Arabidopsis thaliana: one gene and its partners. The protein of the gene in region 3 interacts with the protein of the main gene of each other region in a pairwise test. Each region holds a gene or a part of one and is shown on either strand. Other genes may lie near its edges.

What was found.
Region 1: the proteins of OZS1 (region 3) and CDPK6 interact in a protein complementation assay, tested with the Arabidopsis thaliana proteins (one study listed by BioGRID).
Region 2: the proteins of OZS1 (region 3) and CPK6 interact in a protein complementation assay, tested with the Arabidopsis thaliana proteins (one study listed by BioGRID).
Region 4: the proteins of OZS1 (region 3) and CPK21 interact in a protein complementation assay, tested with the Arabidopsis thaliana proteins (one study listed by BioGRID).

What each region holds. Positions count from the first base shown.
Region 1 is NC_003075.7:12,324,212-12,329,641, forward strand, and holds CDPK6 (calcium-dependent protein kinase 6), read right to left. Parts: upstream 3,441-5,430; 5' UTR 3,205-3,440; coding exon 2,795-3,204; intron 2,551-2,794; coding exon 2,264-2,550; intron 2,185-2,263; coding exon 2,041-2,184; intron 1,950-2,040; coding exon 1,797-1,949; intron 1,707-1,796; coding exon 1,591-1,706; intron 1,490-1,590; coding exon 1,322-1,489; intron 1,254-1,321; coding exon 1,126-1,253; intron 1,039-1,125; coding exon 939-1,038; intron 840-938; coding exon 756-839; 3' UTR 547-755; downstream 1-546. Other genes in the region: TRH1 (Potassium transporter family protein), read right to left, coding at 78-80; PPT1 (polyprenyltransferase 1), read right to left, coding at 3,875-3,944, 4,038-4,134, 4,226-4,361, 4,651-4,716, 4,825-4,974, 5,061-5,130, 5,320-5,430. UniProt on the Arabidopsis thaliana protein: May play a role in signal transduction pathways that involve calcium as a second messenger. Functions in abscisic acid (ABA) regulation of guard cell S-type anion- and Ca(2+)-permeable channels and stomatal closure.
Region 2 is NC_003071.7:7,514,407-7,520,175, reverse strand, and holds CPK6 (Calcium-dependent protein kinase family protein), read right to left. Parts: upstream 3,847-5,769; 5' UTR 3,520-3,846; exon of another isoform or gene 3,321-3,519; intron 3,233-3,320; 5' UTR 3,172-3,232; coding exon 2,454-3,171; intron 2,298-2,453; coding exon 2,154-2,297; intron 2,062-2,153; coding exon 1,909-2,061; intron 1,817-1,908; coding exon 1,701-1,816; intron 1,609-1,700; coding exon 1,441-1,608; intron 1,355-1,440; coding exon 1,130-1,354; intron 1,048-1,129; coding exon 937-1,047; 3' UTR 514-936; downstream 1-513. Other genes in the region: AT2G17280 (Phosphoglycerate mutase family protein), read right to left, coding at 5,332-5,410, 5,498-5,542, 5,637-5,756. UniProt on the Arabidopsis thaliana protein: May play a role in signal transduction pathways that involve calcium as a second messenger. Functions in abscisic acid (ABA) regulation of guard cell S-type anion- and Ca(2+)-permeable channels and stomatal closure. Phosphorylates FD.
Region 3 is NC_003070.9:4,256,768-4,261,096, reverse strand, and holds OZS1 (C4-dicarboxylate transporter/malic acid transport protein), read left to right. Parts: upstream 1-1,796; 5' UTR 1,797-1,847; coding exon 1,848-2,354; intron 2,355-2,429; coding exon 2,430-3,241; intron 3,242-3,318; coding exon 3,319-3,670; 3' UTR 3,671-3,829; downstream 3,830-4,329. Other genes in the region: AT1G12490 (F-box associated ubiquitination effector family protein), read right to left, coding at 1-131, 160-314; AT1G12470 (zinc ion binding protein), read right to left, coding at 3,896-4,072, 4,155-4,271. UniProt on the Arabidopsis thaliana protein: Slow, weak voltage-dependent S-type anion efflux channel involved in maintenance of anion homeostasis.
Region 4 is NC_003075.7:2,393,115-2,399,431, forward strand, and holds CPK21 (calcium-dependent protein kinase 21), read right to left. Parts: upstream 4,646-6,317; 5' UTR 4,518-4,645; coding exon 3,815-4,517; intron 3,361-3,814; coding exon 3,217-3,360; intron 3,136-3,216; coding exon 2,983-3,135; intron 2,751-2,982; coding exon 2,638-2,750; intron 2,480-2,637; coding exon 2,312-2,479; intron 2,229-2,311; coding exon 2,101-2,228; intron 1,972-2,100; coding exon 1,872-1,971; intron 1,790-1,871; coding exon 1,703-1,789; 3' UTR 1,617-1,702; exon of another isoform or gene 1,283-1,616; intron 806-1,282; 3' UTR 539-805; downstream 1-538. UniProt on the Arabidopsis thaliana protein: May play a role in signal transduction pathways that involve calcium as a second messenger. Mediates the phosphorylation and activation of the S-type anion efflux channel SLAC1.

The DNA of each region.
Region 1 (5,430 bases), on a different chromosome or scaffold from region 3:
ATTCCGCAGGAGTAGCAATAAGGAATCTAGGGGTTTAAGATTTCCGACGTATCGGTCGAGAGAAGGGAGCGACATACCATGATTCAAGCCGCCGGCGAGTAAGATGCGGCGTAGCTTGGATCTTCAACGATCAGAGATTACACGCCGGAGACTAGTTCTTTGGAATCGGAATCGAATCTAGAGAAAAACGATCAACGATCATTTGTTGTTTTTATTATCGAGAGAAGAAAAATTTAACAAATTCGATCCAAAGCTCGCGGTCCTTCTTCTTCTTCCAGTTTTTTTTTTATATATATCTCAGTTGATTTTTTATTCGTTCTTTTAATTTTTTTTACTCATTTTAGTTGTCCGATTTCTCTGTGAGAAAATGTCACCAAGATTATTAGATTTCGTCATTTTTCATGTATAAAAATCGGATTTGAAACTTCTAATCCCTCCTACTGCACCTTGCTTATTTTTTTATTGCCTTGATTAGATATAATCTCAAATTTGTTTGTAAGGGTTAAGATTATCATTCTATAATTTTTTAAGTGAATTTCAGCTTCAAATCATGCAAGAATCAACCTGTAATTATTATATATTGAATCTCTCATAAGTCATTAACCAAACCTGCAAATGGCTTTCTGATCTCAAAGTATTTTTTATGTTGTGTTGATAAAAAGAGATTGCAGGAAACAAAATAATTGATTGTAACAGAAACACAAAGTTTGAGTAAAGTGATAACCAAAAACAAACAAACAACATCAAAAGATCTCTCACATTCTGCGTCGGTTTGGCACCAATTCTGGATTTCCCTTCTTCATCATCGCTACAAATTCTTCGTAGTTGATTTTTCCGTCCTAAAGATTCGAATACAAAGATGAGAAGAGAGTGTTAAACTTACACGTATACTTACAGATGTATGAATTGGACGAAACCAGAGATTTACGTATACTTACACGATCGGTGTCTACTTCAGCAATGATCTCTTTGATGGATTTATCATCACCCATGTTGTATTTCTTCATGGCTAGCTCTAGCTCTTCCATTGTTATGTAGCTAATATCACAAATCAAGATCAAAGAGTGAGACTTTATTTATAGCTTGTTAAAGAAAGAAATAGAGAGCTAAAGAACAATGTTTTACCCGCTGTTGTCATTGTCAAAGAACTGGAATGCGGTGTACAAGTGATCCTCACGTTCGATTCTGTTCATATGCATTGTGGCTGATATAAACTCCAAGTAATCAATTGATCCATCTCCATCCATATCAGCCTAAAAGAAACAAAGCATCATAAGCATTATTGCTTTGACATCAAAGTAGTGGATTGTGATAGACTTACTGCTTCCATTAACTGCCTTATTTCAGCTTCAGAGATCTTTGAACCAAGTTTTGGGAGACCGGTTCTCAATTCCTCCAAGGTGACTATTCCATTGTTATCAGTGTCTAGAGATTTGAACATCTCTTTAAGACCAATGATTTCTTCTTCAGAAAGGTTCTCAGCGATAACCTGAAATTGCAAAACGAAAACCAAAGATTGGCTTTAGAACAAGAAGACTACATAAACTACAATAGTGATGGTAAGACTGTTTCAATCAGTGTTTTAATTACCTTCAGGGCCATTTTTTTTAGTTTGTTCATCGCCCGGAATTGTTTCATCCTGGATAACACCGCATTGTCAAGCGGTTTGTCTGATGCCTCCCCATCTTCTCTAATCCACGGATGATCTGCGTATGTATCAAAACGTTATTAAAATTGGATAAAAGAAGGTGTTTTCATCAATTTATTCATCAAAACATGTTATAAAGGGGTCTTACTTAGCACTTCCGCAGCTGTAAGCCGATCTTTAGGGTCATATTTTAACATTTTCCTCACAAGATCTTTGGCACCATCTGATAGTGCTGGCCATGGATCAGCTGAAAAATCAAGTTGCCCTTGAAGAATGGCATCAAAGATCCCCGTTTCATTTTCTGCACAACAGAAAGAACGTGACTATACATTCCAGTCCAACATTTAAACAGTGAAACCAAATTCTCTTCTCAAATAAGATCAAGACAATACCTCCCCAGAAAGGCGGAACACCACTGAGAAGGATGTATAGAATCACACCAGCACTCCAGATATCAGCCTCTGGTCCATAGTTCCGTTTTAGAACTTCTGGGGCAACATAGTATGCACTTCCAACAAGATCCTTAAACTTATCACCTGCATTAATGGATCAACTTCATTAGAGGGATAAATTGTCTATAGAAATCAAATAGGGAAGGATAGAGGCTGTTCAAACCTGGCTTGAAGAAGACAGAGAGACCAAAGTCTGTAGCTTTCAATGGTGAGTTCTCATCTTTACTAAGAAAGAGAAAGTTTTCGGGCTTCAAGTCTCGGTGCATTACACCCATAGAATGACAACTATGCACAACCATCACCATCTGCCTACACAAATCCGCAGCAGCTCTCTCTGAGTAAAGACCTTTAGAAATGATCCTATCGAACAATTCCCCTCCTTCACACAACTCCATTATCAGATTCACAGAGTGTCTGTCCTCGTAGGCTCCCTTCAAGTCCACTATGTTCCTATAATCAACTCACCAATTTGAAACTCAGGTAAATATAAATATGCAAAAAGGGAAACTTTTTCAAGAGTTTAACATAGGACCACCAAACTTTTCATCCACATATGATGCAAACCATTCATTAATATAGAAAACGAATCCTATGTCTAAATATTCACCAATATTCCAACAAAAGGCGTTTCAGATTCGATTTCGGAAAATGTCAAAGAAGCATTTTCCAGTGAGATACAAAAAAAGAGATTTACCGGTGACCGCTGAGATGGTGCATAATCTGGACTTCACGGCGAACATCTTCAATGTCGTCTTTGTGAACAAGGCGGCGCGTAGGGATTGACTTGCAAGCGACCTGTTGTTTCGTCTCTTTGTGAGTTACGAGGTACGTGACACCAAACTGGCCACGACCAAGCTCACGACCAAACTCATAGGTTCTCCGTACTTCCTCCATCGGCCGACCTAAGATCCGACCATTCTGCTGAGTAGATGTGGTGGAACGAGATCCGCCTGTTCCGGAGCCTGACGATCCGACGGTTCCGGAACCGGATGATCCGCGGCGTTCTCCGGCAGGTTTAACATGGTGGACTACGTTGCCGGAGGAAGAGGAGGAGGAGGACGGTGGCGGATCGGAGGATTTGGACTTGCTGTGTCTGTGGCCCATTGTCAAAAGCTTTCTCTCAGTCAATAAAGTCAATCGAGAGAGAAAGATTGTATCTCCGATTCTTATGGCTTTTTAATGTCTGAGATCAGACACGATGACCACGTGGCGTGTTTTTATTGGTACGTAGTTGAACCGCGTATAAACAAAAGTATTTGTCCCATTGGAAGATAAATTAGTGGATGTGGAAATCTTCTGCATATTAGTTGTTTCCACTTCTCCAATCAATCACACGGCTAATTCAATGTTAATCTTTTGCAATTTGAGATTGAAAAAGGAAAAGTTATTAACATCCTTTAGGTTACAAAATCAATGATATTGCGTATGTCAACTATAAAAGCCAAAAGTAAAGCCTCTTGTTTGACCAGAAGGTCATGATCATTGTATACATACAGCCAAACTACCTCCTGGAAGAAAAGACATGGATCCCAAACAACAACAATAGCTTCTTTTACAAGAACCAGTAGTAACTAGTCACTAATCTAAAAGAGTTAAGTTTCAGCTTTTCTGGCAATGGCTCCTTGATCATTTCAATCCTGAAGGAGACCCACTTTGTAGCAAGACCATGTCCTCTGTTTCACTTACAGTGTGTCTCAAAAGTCTACTTCAATTCTTCATATATAGGTTCCTCACACTACAGCTTCATCCTCATTCGTTGACAGAGAGAGAGTCTTTATTGAAAACTTCTTCCAAGTACAACTCCACTAAATATAATAGCACCAAACCACTTGTTCGACACAAATCTGTACAGATATAAAAACACTATTAGGTTTTCCAAGGCAAATCACATAATTGGATTGTGAAAGAGTACAAAAGATAAACCCAAATTTTCATACTTTCTACTGCAGTCAGCACCAGATGATAAGTCAGCTGTCCCTATTTGCCATCCTAACTGTCCTGATGCAGCGGCCAGTGATGCGTAATATTGCCACCCTTAATCATTAGAGCGAGAAACAAAAAGAATCAAAAGACAGTAAATGGAATTAGGAATCACAAATGAGTCCTTGTAAAGTTTATTGAGTACCGAGATCTGCACTGAATCCAGAAAGTGCAAGAAAACCTATGGATGCTGTGCCAAATCCAGTTAACCAAAGCTTTGTATTATCACCGAATCTAAGGGCTGTTGACTTAACACCAACTTTTACATCATCTTCTTTGTCCTGGAGACACAATATATTAGACATTAGTCCATGGAAAAAAAATGATTTAACCTAGAATATCTCAAAATTACTTGCATAAAAACTGAACTTGAGCTGAAATTTTGGGTTCGTAGCTTGTGGCATATACTATTTCATTTTCAATGGGCCACAAAGGTAACTTTCTTTTCTCACTTCTGTTGCAAACGGGAAGACTTTTATGGGGCTAACTCTTCACTTAAAGTATAGAAATCAGATGGAAAAGGTGGGAGATCAGGGTAATTTTCTTCTTTATGATTGACAAAAGTCGAACATCGAAATGGATGCATTTGCATGAGACATGAAACAAAAGCTGAAAAAGAAATCTGTGGTGGTGAAGCTAGAAAAAGAAAACAAAGCAAGCAATATGCACACATTGAGATTAACTACTTTGCTACTGGTCATAATCAAATAGATTTTGAAGCTAAAAAATAAAAAGTGAATATACCTGATGTGCATAAATAGTATCATAAACAAGGGTCCAGCAGACTCCGGAGAGATAGAGAGGGAGTACAATAGATGGTGCTATGCTTCCTTTAACTGCAGTCCATCCTAACAATGCTCCCCAGTTTATGGTCAAACCTAAAAAGGCTTGAGGCTGCAATTATAAAAACGAATCAATCATAAGAAAATCAGAAAATATATAATGTCTAACTTTGAGAAGCCAGAATAGATTTAAATTACCCAAAATGTAAACCTCTTCATAAGTGGGTAGGAAAAGACAAGTAACAAAGATGAAGCCCCTAAAACACGGCTGCAGAATATACATACTGAAATGAGCTCAAGTAGAAAAGAATTTGATCACAAAACTAAAGACAAGACCTGAGAACATATCTTCAGAATTTGGGCCAACTACATAAGGGTGAACCATATGTGTATGTGAATTTTTAAACAAACACTTGCAAATACGCGACTTTAGGGCAAGTAAAAAATCCAAACAAACCTGTAATTGTTAAGTTGGAGAAGAATCCCTAAGCCTAAAAGCAACTGCAGCCCGAGAAATCCAATCCCTTGAAATGGTGTCAAAAGACCACTGGCGATAGGTCTTAGTTTT
Region 2 (5,769 bases), on a different chromosome or scaffold from region 3:
AGGTGACATAAATAACTCACTGCATGTGGTGTGAAATGTATATACATTAATACATACGAACATACGATGCATATATATAAATAAGTGGGAGCACATGGTTTCCCTGTCATGTTCCAATCCACCACATTGGGACCAATGTATGATTGATTGTTTCGAACAACCTTAAGTTTGGTTCTAAGACATCACTTTGATTACATGATTGAGACTTAGTAGCTATCATCATACAGTATTCCACATTTTACATCAATTATTGCTCTTTTATTACATAAATTTTTGTGTATATACACACACTCATGTGTTCATATGTACATACATGTTTATGTACTTACAGATTCAGATGTAATTAGAGAAAGAAATTAGTGGACAGAAACTTGTAACATAGTAGTTGACTAGTTGTATTAATGTTGTCGCTATGACTCCAATTTGGAAGTATGCATGTGAGAAAAGACGACCAAAGCCGAGCTAAAAAGTTTAACAAACCAAAGTGAAGAGTATGCGTTTGTGTACTAACAACAGCAACAACAACTAAAAGGTGGAAGATTGTCACACAACTTGTATATCACATTTGTACTATATTGGAAGATGATTTGATCTTTCAAAAACCCAAAAAGGGTCAAAGCTTTCGACGATGGAGATGAAATAAAAACCAAACTTAAACAGTTGTTACAAACAAACAAAACAGAGAGAGAGAAAATAGAAATAGTCCTCACAGCTACTGATGAACAGAACTTAACACTTTTTTTTTATCTTTCACCATTTTTTAATCATACAGTAGTTTTTAACATTTTTAACTCAAACCTTCAACGATTTAGCTGGTTCGCTGCAGCTATGAATCTGGTTTCTCTTCCTCCTCTGTGATTAAACATTGCAAATGTTGATTCCATGGAAACATTTGCATCCTCACCGAATAGACGATTTAAAGATGTGTGTATGTGCCTACACATCTCTCATGCTGATGTTTAGACTATTTTTCATTGTTCTTCTCCCTACACCAGCATTTCCCTTTTGCATCATCGCAACAAATTCTTCGTAATCAATCCGTCCATCCTGTAAGAAACAAAAACCAAAACTTTATTAGCAAACACCAATGGTGAAGAGTGGAAGAATCATGTCAAGAGGCAAAGCTTACGTTGTCTTGATCTACTTCTTTGATTATGTCTTCAAGAAAAACATCGGTCATCCCATGTTCAATGCAAGATTGTTGCAGCTCATCAATGGTGATGTAACCACTTCCATCTTTGTCAAAGTACTGAAATGCAGAGACAAGATGCTCTTCTCTCTCTAGTTTATTCAGATGGATCGTCGCTGCAATAAACTCGCTGTAATCTATTGTACCGCTGTTGTCCACATCAGCCTAAGATACAACACAGAGAGTATGGTTATTGTCATCTATATAGCGAAATGAACTAGTGTGCATATCTCAAAAGGATGCATTGTTACCGCTTCCATAAGATCTCGGATCTCGGTGTCTTTCAAGGTTGATCCATATCTTCTCAAGCCAGCTTTGAGTTCATCAAAAGTGATTGCACCGCTGTTATCAGTATCCATTGCCTCAAACATTGCTCTTAAACCCGCAATCTCTTCTTCTGAGAGGCTCTCAGCTATCACCTGATCATTCCATAATCACTAATATGAGTAAACATATCTCAAACGAATGTGATGCAGAGACAATAGAAGATTGAGTATAACTACAAACTGACCTTTAAAGCCATCTTCTTTAATTTATTCATTGCAGAAAACTGTTTTAGACGAGACAAAACAGCCGGGTCAAGTGCTCTATCCGGTGCAACTCCATTCTCACAGATCCATGGATGACCTGAAAAAAAAAGAGATACATACAAGAGATATAGTCTAATGTTGTGTGGCTGCCAAATGTAACCATTTATTTAAGTGTAATTGATTACGTACGCAAGACTTCATGAGCAGTCAAACGTTCAGAAGGACTAGAGCATAACATCTTCCGGATCAGATCTTTAGCACTGTCGGATATGACAGGCCACGGGTCTGTATCAAAGTCAATATATCCCTTCAACACAGCATCAAATATTCCTTGCTGTGTTTCTGATTTCAAAAACACAAAACCAAACTTCAGGAAACCTTGTCAATGGCACTAATTAAGAGAACGCATTGAAACAGCTATATCGCCCGCATACCTGCCCAGAAAGGCGGGACACCACTTAGTAAGATATAGAGTATAACACCAGCAGTCCACACATCAGCTTCTGGACCATAATGTTTTAGAAGAACCTCAGGAGCAACATAGTATGGACTTCCAACAACATCCTTGAATATTTGGCCTGATATTAGAGTAAGACTACACATTATGCAAAGCTGAAACATTTACATTCCCTTACTCATTTGATGAATAGAAAGTCACAGTAATGTATACTACAAAACACATCATGGTACTTAAATAGATTCAGAACAATGAGAAACTCGCAACTAACGCTTACCTGGTTTGAAGAAAACAGAGAGACCAAAATCAATGGCCTTAAGAGAGAAATCATCATCCTTATTAACCAACAAGAAATTCTCAGGCTTTAAATCTCTATGCATAACACCAAGAGAATGACACGCCTCAACAACACCGACAATGATCTTGGTCAACTCAGCAGCTTTCCTCTCGCTGTAATGACCTCTATGAATAATCCTATCAAACAACTCACCACCAGCACAAAGCTCCATCACAATGTGAACATACAAAGGATCCTCATAAGCTCCTTTAATAGTAACAATATTCTTGTGACCAGCTAAATGATGCATAATCTGAATCTCCCTCCTAACATCCTCAACATCTTCTTTAGATATCAATTTCCTCTTGGATATAGACTTACAAGCATAGTCAACACCTGTGGCAATATCAGTACACAAATACGTTGTCCCGAATTGTCCTTGTCCTAACTTACGACTCAACGTGTAAAGATCACGAATGTTAGGAGTCTTGTGACCAAGAACATAGTAAGATTGATTGTCAACGTTACGCCGCATAATGGGTTCTTTAACAGGAATCACAAGAGCTGGATTGGTGTTCTGTTTGGAGAAATCTTGGTCTGTAGTAGGAGAATGAACAGAGGAAACAGTAGTGGTGGTGGATTTGGAATTCTCCTCGGGCCTACTATGATTGCCCTCGTAGATTTTGTCCTTAAAAGAACCACGACATGAATTGCCCATGAAACAAACTCTCTCTATTTCACAACTTTTTTCACTTTCTTCTTCTCCTCATCCAACGAAACTGTTTCATGAACAAACATACACAAAAAAAATCAGATAAAGAGAAGCCAAAAAAGTATCAAACTTTGGAACGAAATCAAAGAACCCACATCAGATCAAGCTTCAAAAAACATAATTGTTTTGTAACATAATCAAAGATTAAAGAAAAAAAGACAAGAGCTCCTGAAAAGTCGTAGCTTTAAATGTTCATCGATCATTATAGATCCCAAAAAAGAATCAAAGACACAACAATAAATGAAGAAATCATTTGGTAATAAAAGAAACATGAGAAAACAGAGGATCTAGTACCGGAATATAGCAGAACAGCGAGAAGACGATGAAATGGAGACGAAGAAGAAATGGGAAAAACTCAAAAAAGGATAATTATTCGTTGATAGTTTTTGTTTAAGTCAATAACAAAAGAGAAAAAATGGTTTCTTTGTTATGTTATTGTTTAATAGTATATATCTCTATATGTGTTGCTGTTTCTGGTTGGGTAATTGGATTCGTTGAATCATTAGAGAGTGTTAAAAAGATTGATTCTTTTGTGGATTTGTGAAATGATGAAGGAGAGAGGATGGTGCAAAGAAGAAAGGTCTTTTACGCGGTTTCGTCTCACCTTCTTCATTCCTTAATTGCTTGTTTAATTAGTATTAATTTAAGGGATCATCATCTTTTACTGGTGTAATGATACTTAGTGCAAGTAGGGAGAATAAAAAATTGCAATAATTTGTTTAGGATAACTTATTATTAAGAGAATGATTATAAGCCTAACGTTATACTAGCTTTTTTTAAGAGTTGGATGTGCTTAACTTAGCTAACTACAAAATATTATTATTAGATGCATATAGTTAAGAGTTAATTTATGGTCTTGATTAACAGATCGAAACAATGGACAACTAAATTTGTTCTGAAAACTCAAGTTTTATTATGTTGACTTTTCACATTGGTTCATCAAAGATGTCACATTCTTTTTTACTTTTGCTAGTATATAGGCTTTCTTGAATAAACATTTTGGTATGTCTACGTTGAAATAACAACTAGTACAGTATAAATCAAACTTTTAGCACTGAAAGTTTTGCATAATTTTACCAATAATTAGTGAAGTATATAGGATATCACTTTTTTCTTACAAGAACTAAGGCATGGGGCATGTCATTGTCGGGTAGTGAGTAAGATCGCAGACTACAATTTGTCTCGCACGTGGTACAAATTTAGTTTGGGTGTACTTTTTTTTTCTTTTTGACATCACAGTATTGTACTTACAGTTTTTTTATTTTCCAATAGATAACTTTACAAACCGTGAATCATATCATTTAAAAAAAAAAATCGTTCTCTTAAACGGATAAGAAGCTAGACCTACTTTAAATTTTACATTGTCGAGTGTTCTTTAAAAGATCTTATCATATGTTCAAAATTGGGGAACAAAAAATTTCGAATTCCTAATGGTAAAAGCTTTCTCCAATAGTTTGGAGAGAGCGTAATTTCTATAAAGAATCTGAATACGATTATCGATTATATTAAAGTCCAAATACATAGAACGTACGAAGAGCATTAAACTTTGATCTACTTCTATAAAAACACTTAAAACATTTTCTATTTTCATAAAAAATCTCAACACCAAAAGATAAAACCTAGTACTATAAGAAAAGCTGAGTGTAATTTTTGGAATTTTCTCTTTGTTTTATTAAAATGCTTGGCCATAAGAAAATTCAACACAGCTGCCATAAAATATGAAGTTGATCTTACATAAATAATGTTTTAAGTTTCTGCTGGTTCTCATGTTGATAGAGATAAATCTACTCATCTAAGATTCACACTTATAATTTAGTTGCATCTACCAGTTCCTCTACTTGTAATGCTATTATTTCCACAATTGTATAATCACAGCTAAAATGAGAATTGGAGCAGAAATATTAAAGCTACCGCTAAATTTTGGATAATAACAATCATACAATAAATTCATGTAGCAGCAGAGTCAACCTACATGGCTACATACCAACACTAATGTTCATCAAATAACTGAAAATGCCAGATTCTAGTCCAATGGAAACATCATGTAATTTATTTATTTTAGAAAGAAAAACTATCTCAGAATTCTCTCTCTTACTCTTCAGCCATTTAGCCACTAGGATTATCAAGTCCTTCAGGAACCTTCCCAGGATAGTTTGTGGTCTCTGCAGAGTCAGTCCCCAGGTTCCTACACACCCAACACCATAATAAATAATCCAACACACTCTCAAATTATATTTATATTCTGTCAAAACTTATTGTAATTATTGCTTACCCTCGATCCACGATAACCATTGAGCGAAGCTCACAGTTGCTCAAACTGAACAAAGTTAAAGATGTTGATTAGTTAAACAGTTTCAAGTTATACAAATTGTTGGTGCTTGTAGACATCAAGTTTTTGTTTAAGCTCTTACTGTATAGACAACTCTTTCTTTAGGTCATCGCAACAATCCTTCCCGAAAGAACTCAAGAGACCGTGCAAGAAGCCACTGTGAGATACAATTGCGATCTCCTTCTCTTTCCTTGTCCATATCCTTCACAAAGCAA
Region 3 (4,329 bases):
CCTCCTTCTCCTTCTCCTTCTCCTTCTCCTTGTCCTTCTCCCAAGGTGTAGGGATGGTGACCGATGATGATGAACCCAACACCAGTGTAGTTAGATGTTTTAAATCCGGGTTAAAATAATCCTCACGACTTCTGGAGACCATGAGAAGAGCTGGATCACCTGATTGCTGACGCTGTGTCAATTGTCTTTGTTGGAAGAATGGAGATTCGATCGATGATTTCCATTGTTTCGATACAGCCGTGAATCTCAGCAGAGAATCCACAGCAAGTCTTCTCTAGGATGCGCTCTACGACCTCGTGGGGCAGCGATTCCATCCTCAAGCAGCGTTGCTTTTTTGACATTCTTTTTGTGATTGTTTTGTTGAACAGGGGCTTGCTTATTTATAACCAGGAAAAGAATAATTCTTCTTTATCCTTGATTTCCTTTTCCTTAAGGAAAAAGGATCTTCCTAACCGCTTTGAACCCTATCTCTCTGTTTTTCGGTTTTCCCTTTTACTTCTAGGGTTTTCATAAAGCCTTGGAACCCAATTACGTGTTTTAAACCGACGGTCATGATCTTGTCTTCAGGATCAGATATATATTATTCGACACATCGTGGGACCCACCACTATTCTGACTGGGTCTGCCTGCTTTCCGGTTGCTTCCAATAATGTCGAACCAAAAAGCCACGAACGCTAAATAAGAATCTACTTTGCAAGTCTAAGAGATTCATGCAATAATTCTTCACTAATGTTGTGGGTTTTGAAAACATTAGGTATTGCAAGAATATAGATTTTGTAAACACACCCTAATGATCTCAAACCTTATATATATGGTTAACAATCTAATCCCATAAGTATTCCCATTTCACAACACTCATATATTGTTAGAGCTATATGAAGTAAGGTTACATTACAACTTTTTGTTTACTATAAAAACAAAAACTACAGGCTATAAATGCCAAGGTTTAGAACAACTTAGGGGCGTTACTCTTACAAAACTTGTGGCGGTATAGTGGTCATCTCTGTGGCAATCTACCTTCAATGTGTGAGGGTTCGATCTCAAGCTTAGCTTATATTTGTAATTTTTTATTAATCAACAGTCCGAATATTGTTTTAAACCTGATTCATAAACAAACATTATAAATTATAAATTATAGATTGTATCATATTATTCAAGAAGTTGTGAAAATAATCACGGCTTATGTGAGTTTGTCTTATGGTCCTATGACTCCTAATCCATGCGAGGCTATTTGATGATTTATTATATCACTTTTGTATTATTTTGAGTTCATTGATCAAAGTTTTTTGTTTGGATAAAGGGAAAACGTAAAGCATTTTGGAACGAAATTCATAGAAAAATCTCTTACAAAGAAGAAGAATATATGCCATTCATATTTCTGCACATATGTTTGGTTGCTTTAATCTTTCGACCCCTTTTTCCAAAATGTTAGTATTATATGTTAAGTTTATAAGTTTTAACCAAACAAGAGGAGCTAACAGAAATCGAATTAACGACTCAAATTATGTTTTGTATAGAAAAGAGCAAATTGACTTTGGTTGCATTTGAATCTCGTGACTAATGGAACGGCCTTTTTTTTTTTTTTTTTTTCATCGTCTCTCACCTTTTCCAAGTAGTTTGGATCGAAAAGCTTTCACGAGAAACCTAAGAAACTTTCCAGGAAAGTTTTGGTTCACATACGCATTAACTCACACCATTCACCAAGCTTTCTCGTGCCCCTTAACCACAAACTTTGCTTTTTTTAACTTAGTCCATTGCATCTTTCTATATACATTAACATGTTTCCTTTCCATACTAGAAGAAAAATATCTTCTCTTGTGTTTCAAATTATCAAATTGCTCTGATCAATGGAGAGGAAACAGTCAAATGCTCATTCCACTTTCGCCGACATCAATGAAGTTGAAGATGAAGCAGAGCAAGAACTGCAACAGCAAGAGAACAACAACAACAAGAGATTCTCTGGAAACAGAGGACCAAACCGAGGGAAACAAAGACCATTCAGAGGTTTTAGCAGACAGGTTTCGCTAGAGACAGGTTTCTCAGTGCTCAACAGAGAATCTAGAGAAAGAGATGACAAAAAGAGTTTACCGAGGAGTGGTCGTAGCTTTGGCGGGTTTGAATCAGGTGGAATCATCAACGGTGGAGATGGTCGGAAAACAGATTTTAGTATGTTTAGGACTAAATCAACGCTCAGCAAACAAAAGTCTTTATTGCCTTCTATAATAAGGGAGAGAGACATTGAGAATTCTTTAAGAACTGAAGATGGTGAGACCAAAGATGATTCTATAAATGAAAATGTTTCTGCAGGAAGATACTTTGCTGCTCTTAGAGGACCTGAATTGGATGAAGTCAAGGTAACAACTCTTCTTCTTTCTCTTTCTCTCTTCAAAACTTAATTATCAGTTAGTTCCAATTGTACTCTCTTGCAGGACAATGAAGATATTCTGCTTCCAAAAGAGGAGCAATGGCCGTTTCTCCTAAGGTTCCCAATTGGATGCTTCGGTATCTGTTTGGGACTTAGCAGTCAAGCTGTCTTGTGGCTTGCCCTAGCGAAAAGTCCTGCAACAAACTTTTTACACATCACACCATTGATTAACTTAGTTGTATGGCTATTTTCACTGGTAGTTTTAGTCTCTGTGTCCTTCACTTACATACTCAAATGCATCTTCTACTTTGAAGCTGTCAAAAGAGAGTATTTTCATCCTGTTCGAGTCAACTTCTTCTTCGCTCCTTGGGTGGTTTGCATGTTCCTAGCCATTAGCGTACCTCCCATGTTCTCACCAAACCGAAAATACCTCCATCCCGCCATTTGGTGTGTTTTCATGGGTCCTTATTTCTTCCTCGAGCTAAAGATCTACGGGCAATGGCTTTCGGGAGGGAAGAGGCGACTATGCAAAGTCGCAAACCCATCTTCTCATCTTTCTGTTGTAGGGAATTTCGTCGGGGCCATCTTAGCTTCAAAAGTTGGATGGGATGAAGTAGCTAAGTTTCTATGGGCAGTAGGTTTTGCACATTACTTGGTTGTGTTTGTAACACTTTATCAGAGACTTCCCACCAGTGAAGCTCTTCCTAAAGAGCTTCATCCTGTTTACTCTATGTTCATTGCTGCCCCATCAGCAGCAAGTATTGCTTGGAACACGATATATGGCCAATTCGACGGATGTTCAAGAACTTGCTTCTTCATTGCACTCTTCCTATACATATCCCTAGTTGCTCGGATCAATTTCTTCACTGGATTTAAGTAAGTCCATCTCGGGTTTAAATATTCTTGGTTGAAGATATATGTTGATGATACTAAGTGGCTACGGGGTTTTGCAGGTTCTCAGTGGCGTGGTGGTCATATACTTTTCCTATGACAACAGCATCCGTAGCAACAATAAAGTATGCAGAGGCAGTACCTGGTTACCCGAGCCGGGCTCTAGCACTCACTCTTTCCTTCATTTCCACAGCGATGGTCTGCGTTTTGTTTGTCTCCACGCTTCTCCACGCCTTTGTCTGGCAAACGTTGTTCCCAAACGATCTTGCAATTGCCATTACAAAGAGGAAACTTACCAGGGAGAAGAAGCCTTTTAAAAGAGCTTATGACTTGAAGCGCTGGACCAAGCAGGCTCTGGCGAAGAAAATATCTGCAGAAAAAGATTTTGAAGCAGAGGAAGAGTCGCATCACTGATGTAAAATCATGGAATACAGAAGTATCTTTTAGATCGAAATAATAGTTCAGAAAAACACTTAGATATAGAGACAAAAGTAGGTGAGATAGCATATTGTATGTATCTCCAGAAGCATGTTTAATAGTAATACTACATCAATAATACAGAACCCAAAAATCACATTCACATTTCAAAGCTAGCTGAAGAAGAGATCACACAAGAAAGAATTCACGGTTTGACATGAATCAAACAGGCAAAGAAATGGTCCTCTGGTTTGCTAAGTTGGTCTCTGATCGGAGGTCCCATGAAGTAGAATACTGTGAATCCTCAGGTTTAATAAAAGGCAGAGTGATCTCATTGATCATTAATTCTCCACAGAACGGGCATTCGCTGGCAATAGCATCATCTAGCTCTGATCGAAGCTGCCTCACCGTAAAGAAAATATGTCAGGTCACAGAAAAATGTTAAAGAAAAGATTAAAAAAGGAAAAGAAAATGTCCCTACCTTGTCTGCAGTTGTTGTGCTTGTTATGGGTTCATCAGATCGGTTACCATTTATATCCCTCCGGGTTTCGCTTCCAAGCAATGTCAGTTGCTTCTGCAGATCGAGTATATGCTCGGCCTAGACAGATTTTGGGAAAACCAATCAAAAAATGGAATCACAATAACGAACAAATATT
Region 4 (6,317 bases), on a different chromosome or scaffold from region 3:
ATCGGTTCAATGCGAATATTTCGCGCCAAATTATCCGCTTTTACATTTGCATTACGAAAAATGTTCTTTTGGTCTTTTAAATTCGTTTTTGGTCTTTAAATATTCAAAATTTATGTTGGTAAGTTTACTAAGTCCTCCAAGACTTTATTAGACGACTTTTGTGTATAAAACCGAAAGTATAAAATGTAGGAATTATGAGCTGGAATTTGAGTTGTATACTTGTATTAATAAAATACTGACTTGGTCTTTAAATATTCAAATTTATAGTATTGGTCATTGGTTGTTTAACTTGTTTTTGTCAACGTTAATATTGGTCCTTAAAATAATTTCATTTTGTCGTTTAATCTAATTGGTGTGTTTTTCTTGCTTCTTTATTTATTAGTACTGTAATTTATTCTTTAATTGACAGATTGATCTTAAAAATGCTTCTTTCGTGCATCCCACGTATATTGAACATCCAGATTTATAATTACAAACAGATAACCAAACAAATAAATTAAATAATAAACTCTTGAAAATATCTTAAAATCTTTATAGGCTAAATGATACAAAGCGTGTGACGTTCATAGACTGATACTACTAGCTAAAGGCCCTATATCTCTGAGAGGCGAGACCGACACCAGGTTAGATTCATCTCTTTTGGGAGATGGACCCACACCAGGTTAAATACATCTTCTTTGGATAAGAGATCTCTCTCAATATACCTCGAACCCAGCACCTCTACATAAAAAATTTAACACTGGGCCAACAGCTCGTTGGTCTCCACTCGCTCTTTTTGTATTTGAGAATAACTTTTTAGCTCTTCCTAGAAACAAAGACAACCAAAGTGATAAATACGAATCACCAAAGAACCAAGGAAGAAATGTGCGCAACATGAAGTCACTAAGCTTGAGAAAATCGAATCTGACATGAAGCAGAATGTGTCTCAAGGAGTTGAAACATATAAAAAGATTCAATCAGTGCTTGAGCAGATTATTGGGAGTAGAAGTCACATTGGATTTAGTAACAGTGATGCAACAGCAAAATGTTTTTCTTTTGCGCCTGAGAACAAGCTACATTATTCGAGGGCAAGAGTATTGATAAGCTAGGAGGCACGTGTGGTAGCTCAAAAGGATTCGTTGAGGCTCGTGAATAAGCAAAGAGAAGCAGAGAAGGCACGTGAAACAGAGTTAAAACAGAGCAAGAAGAAACAGATTGTGTAACCAATTGAGAGTTGTATATAAATAGATAGAAGAGTATTGAAAAAGTTATGCATTAATGCATGTATAGATGTGTGTGTAACAAACTTATCGTTTGCTAGAGAAGAGTTAAGAAATCTCTTGAACAAATCTCCATTGTTAGAGTTCTTGAGTTTGTATCTTGGATTGAGAAGTGATAAGAGAGATTCCTAAGGAACTATTACTAGCAAAAGATTACACTTAAAGCTCATAAGGATTAAGAAAGTTCTCAAGAAAGTTTCAAAAAAATATAAGTGGATATGTTACTGTTACAAGGAGCTAAGACATGACAGTCTCTCAAAATCAGTTTCAGACTAACTAAGGAGAAGGATAAATAAATCTGTTCAAACACAGAGAAGATAGAACAACATTTTGAGACAGTATATCAACTATGCTCACCTCGGTTTACCCCCGGTTTAGCTCTTCTACTCTGGGTTCAAGAATCGCTTTCGGTTGATAAACCGTTGGGATTTATGCCGACTTGATCAATGGAATGGAAGCAGTTTCCCCTGTGGCTGCGTGCTGCCACTTCTCATCATCGCGCAAAATTCTTCAAAGTTTATTCTTCCATCCTGTAACATAGTTCATTACAAGGTTTCAAGAACCAGTTTAATGTTTGAGATGTTGGCTTATATGTTAGAGAGTGCAACTTACATTGTCGGTATCAACTTCGGATATAACTTCTTTGATGCTAGCTTCATCTCCCATTCCATATTCCTTCATGGCACTTTCCAACTCATCTCTAGTTATGTGCCTGTTGTATAACCAAGCCATTATTAACATTGGTGCATGATAATAGTTGTACACATCTGATACTTAGTCTCCATGACACAAGAAATGAACAATGGAGACTAATTCATAAACTGAAAATGGAAAAACTTACCCGCTGTTGTCTTTATCAAAGTGTTGGAATGCTTTGTATACATGCTCATCTCGATCTAATTTGTATCTATGCATTGTCGCAGAGATAAACTCGTAGTAGTCGATTGTTCCATTACCATCGACGTCAGCCTGAAACGTTATCATCATGTGTTTCAAGCTTTTTCAAAACCTTAACAGTGGAAAGTGAAGCCAAGATGCTGAAGATAACTTACGGCTTCCATGAGTTGCTTAACTTCAGTTTCCGAGAGTCTAGACCCAAGTCTAGTTAGCCCAGTTTTGAGTTCTTCATAAGTGATTGTCCCGCTTTTGTCGGTATCTATATTCGCAAACATGGTTTTAAGACCTTTAATCTCCTCTTCTGATAGACTCTCCGCGATAACCTGAAAACAGAATACACAAATTACAACCAAAATTTCAGGCACCAGTAGATATGAGGCATTGCAATATGGAGCATAGAGAGATTGCAAGTGGATAATTGAAATGCAAAATTAGTAATAAAGAAAGATAATTTCATAAAAAATTTCAGCCACTTCTTTACCTTTAGAGCTAGCTTCTTAAGCTTGTTCATTGCTCGGAATTGCTTCATGCGGGATAACACAGCGCTATCAATAGGCTTGTCTGGTGCTTCTCCCCCTTTGATCCAAGGATGTTCTATAAACCATAAGGATGGCTACATATTAGTAAAGCATTACTAGTTAGACGACCATAAACTCAAAGACAAGAACAAGATCAGACTTCAACATTCACTAGAGTCTATTTAGACCTAGAGGTCCTATACAATGGACTGACTATCTTGTTCTGGCTTTGAGCCTCTAAAATATGTAATCACGCATTCTATACAAACAGGAGTGGGAAAAAAATACTGGTATTCACATTGTCTTACCAAGAACCTGTGCAGCCGTGATTCGTCTCTTCGGGTCTTTGGTTAGCATCTTCCTAACAAGATCTTTCGCGCTTTCAGATATAGAAGGCCATGGCTCACTTACAAAATCAATTTCGCCTTTTATGACCTCATCGAATATTCCTTTCTCATTTTCTAAAATATAACATATGAATATAGATCACACCTCAAGAAGAAAACAAATCAATGAATTTGGTTAGCTTAAAGGTCTTTTACCGGCCCAAAAAGGAGGTACACCGCTGAGTAGGATGTATAAAATGACACCTGCACTCCAAATGTCGATTTCTTTTCCGTAACTTCGCCTTAATACTTCTGGAGCAACGTAGTAAGCACTCCCAACTATATCCCGGTAAACTTTTCCTGCATTTGTTGGTTTCACAGACATATCATGAAGCATATTAACATAAGAATCAAACTAATGAAAATTACATACTTGACAATATCATAAAGATGTGTACAAAAGACAAGATAAACTCGATTCTCGGTACTAAAGTGTCTTGAGTCTCATCCCTATGCATTGGAACATAAGACAACAATCTAGCTCATGATCAACGGAAAAAAAAAGTGCAGATCTTAAATACCAAAGAATATGATCAATCTTCAATGAACAGAGAAAACACAAAATCAATTGTTTTGACCATGACACTCTCACTGTTACTCGAAAACAAGAAGTACTCAAGCTAGAGATCACAATGCAATGAACTACCAAACTCTTAATCTTTGACACTAAAGAGACTAGACAAGCTTATAGATTCCAAACACTAACAATCCAAAACCAAAGACCAAAAAAGGCTATATTGAGTCTCTAGCTAACCTTCTTCGATGAAGACGGACAAACCGAAATCAGTAGCTTTAAGCATAGCATTCTCCTCTTTACTCGAAAGCAAGAAATTCTCAGGCTTGAGATCTCGATGAACCACACCCATAAAATGACAAATCTGAACAACATTGACAATAGACCTAATGATACCAGCAGCAGCTCTCTCAGAGTAATGACCTTGAGCTATAATCCTATCAAACAACTCACCACCAGCACACAACTCCATAACCAAATGTATAGATTGTCTATCTTCATAAGCACCTTTGATCTCAACAATGTTAGGTTGTCCAGACAAATACTGCATTATCTGAATCTCTCTCTTCACATCTTCTTTATCTTGCTTACTAATTAGCTTCCTCTTAAGAATCGATTTGCAAGCATAAGTGTTACCAGTACCAATCTCTTTACACATATACGTAATCCCAAATTGACCTCGACCTAATTCTTTCCCCAAGCTGTAAAATTTCCTGATGTCTTCGAATGGTTTACCTAAAATCGTATCTGGATCTCGAACTGAGACTGGATTTGAAGACGGTGTTGAAATCTGCTGATGGATTGGTTGAGTCATGGGTTTTGGTGTTGGGGTTTGAGGTTTACGATGCTCGGGGACTACATGGGTTTGAACTGGATTGATCGGGATTGATTTTTCTCCGCCGTCGTTTTGAGTTTTCCGGTGTTTACTGCTGAAGCAACCCATTAGTAAAGGAGGAGACTTTCGTTATTGGGTAGAAGAAAAAGATGAGCTTGAAGGATGATTGGAAGAGAGAAACCAAAATCGGAAGAATAATTGAGTTGTGAAGGTTTTGTTTGACTGGAATTGGAATTATCTATCAGTCGCGTCAATTTCTGAGTGTAATAGATAGAACTGTTTAAGTAAATTGTCTTTTGTCTTTGTCAATTTGCTGAAAATAAAATATCCACAATAAATTAATTATATTTAAAATAAATTAAATTTGACTTACATTTTTCAAAGGAATTTTATGGTAAAAAAATTTCGAATATTTGTTCTGGAACGGAAAAATTCCTTGTTTTATTGGACGGGTACAGAATATTCCATTTATAATTAGAAAAGTATTGAATTTCGAACTGTCAAGTGTCAATATTATTTTTAATTTCAAAAAAAAAATAGTGTCAATATTACTTTGATATATTTTTCCATTACAGCTGATATAAAAAAAAGGTTAATGATAAAAAATAACCATAAAATTAAACAAAATTAAAAAAATAATTTTTTGTCAGAAAATTTAGATAAATAACATTTTTTAAAGTAGAATAAATACTAAAAAATATCTTTCTATTTTCTTGTTTCTACAATAATGCCAGTGATAATAAATCAGAGTTGATTAACATCTGAATAAAAAACATGAATTATTTACAGACAACATAGTATCTAAATGAATTAATATTTTATTAAAACAATACATGACAATTATAAAAGGAACATGCATTATTCAGAAGAAATACATCTTATTGTTCGGATAGGTATGAATAATATTACAGTAGAGAACATGAAATATTTAAAAGGTGTAGATCTTTTATATAATACCATGTATTTTTAGAAAATGCATGTCTAATATAAAATGAACATGCATTATTCAAAAGAAACATATCTTATTGTTTGGATGGGTAGGAATAAGATACGTGATTACAATAGAGGACATGAATTATTTAAAAAGTGCAGATCATGTCAAATAAATACACTGCTTTTAGACAAAATACATGCCTAATATAAAAGTAACATGATATATGAAATGATAACATAACATTGAAAGAAAATCTTAAACTTTTGAGGGTGAAAGCAAATCTCAGATTCTAAAAAGAAACGATATCGGAAATAGGTAAATCCTATATAGACCAAATAAATGGAAGAGCTCAATGGTTGAACCACCAAATTGATGAAAACCAACACCGTGAACGGCTATAGTCAAATGATTTACTAGAGCTTGTGGTGGTTATTGTGATGGAGATGGTTATGGAGAAGGTGATGATGGTTTCGGAGAAATAAAAAATTAATGTACGGTTTGGTTTAGTTAGGGTAAAAGTGTCATAAATGAGGTGTAAAAGTTATTTTCTCTCTCATACTTTTTATCTATGGTTATTCTCTTTATTCTTTTGTTGTCAAAGGTTAGTTAGTATATATACTCTAAAAAAATAGTATCGATCTCTTTAATTCGCCGCTACGAAGGCTTTGATTGGGCCTTGTATAATATTGAATTTTCCTTTGCGATGATGACTAGAAGTTGTTGATTACTCATGAGAGAAAGATAAGTTTGTTTTTTCTTGGGATAATGAGAGCTATTTACAATGTTATTTAAAGCCATGAAAAAACAAATTTAAATAAAAGATATGATTTGAACTTAATTTTGTTGTGTTGCCACTTCTTAAGTTTGATAAGCTAGTAAGTGTGATAAGCTAGTGAGTTTGATAAACTAGTAAACTCTAAATATATTATGAGTTTGATAAGCTAGTATGCTCTATATATATATATATAGTTGTG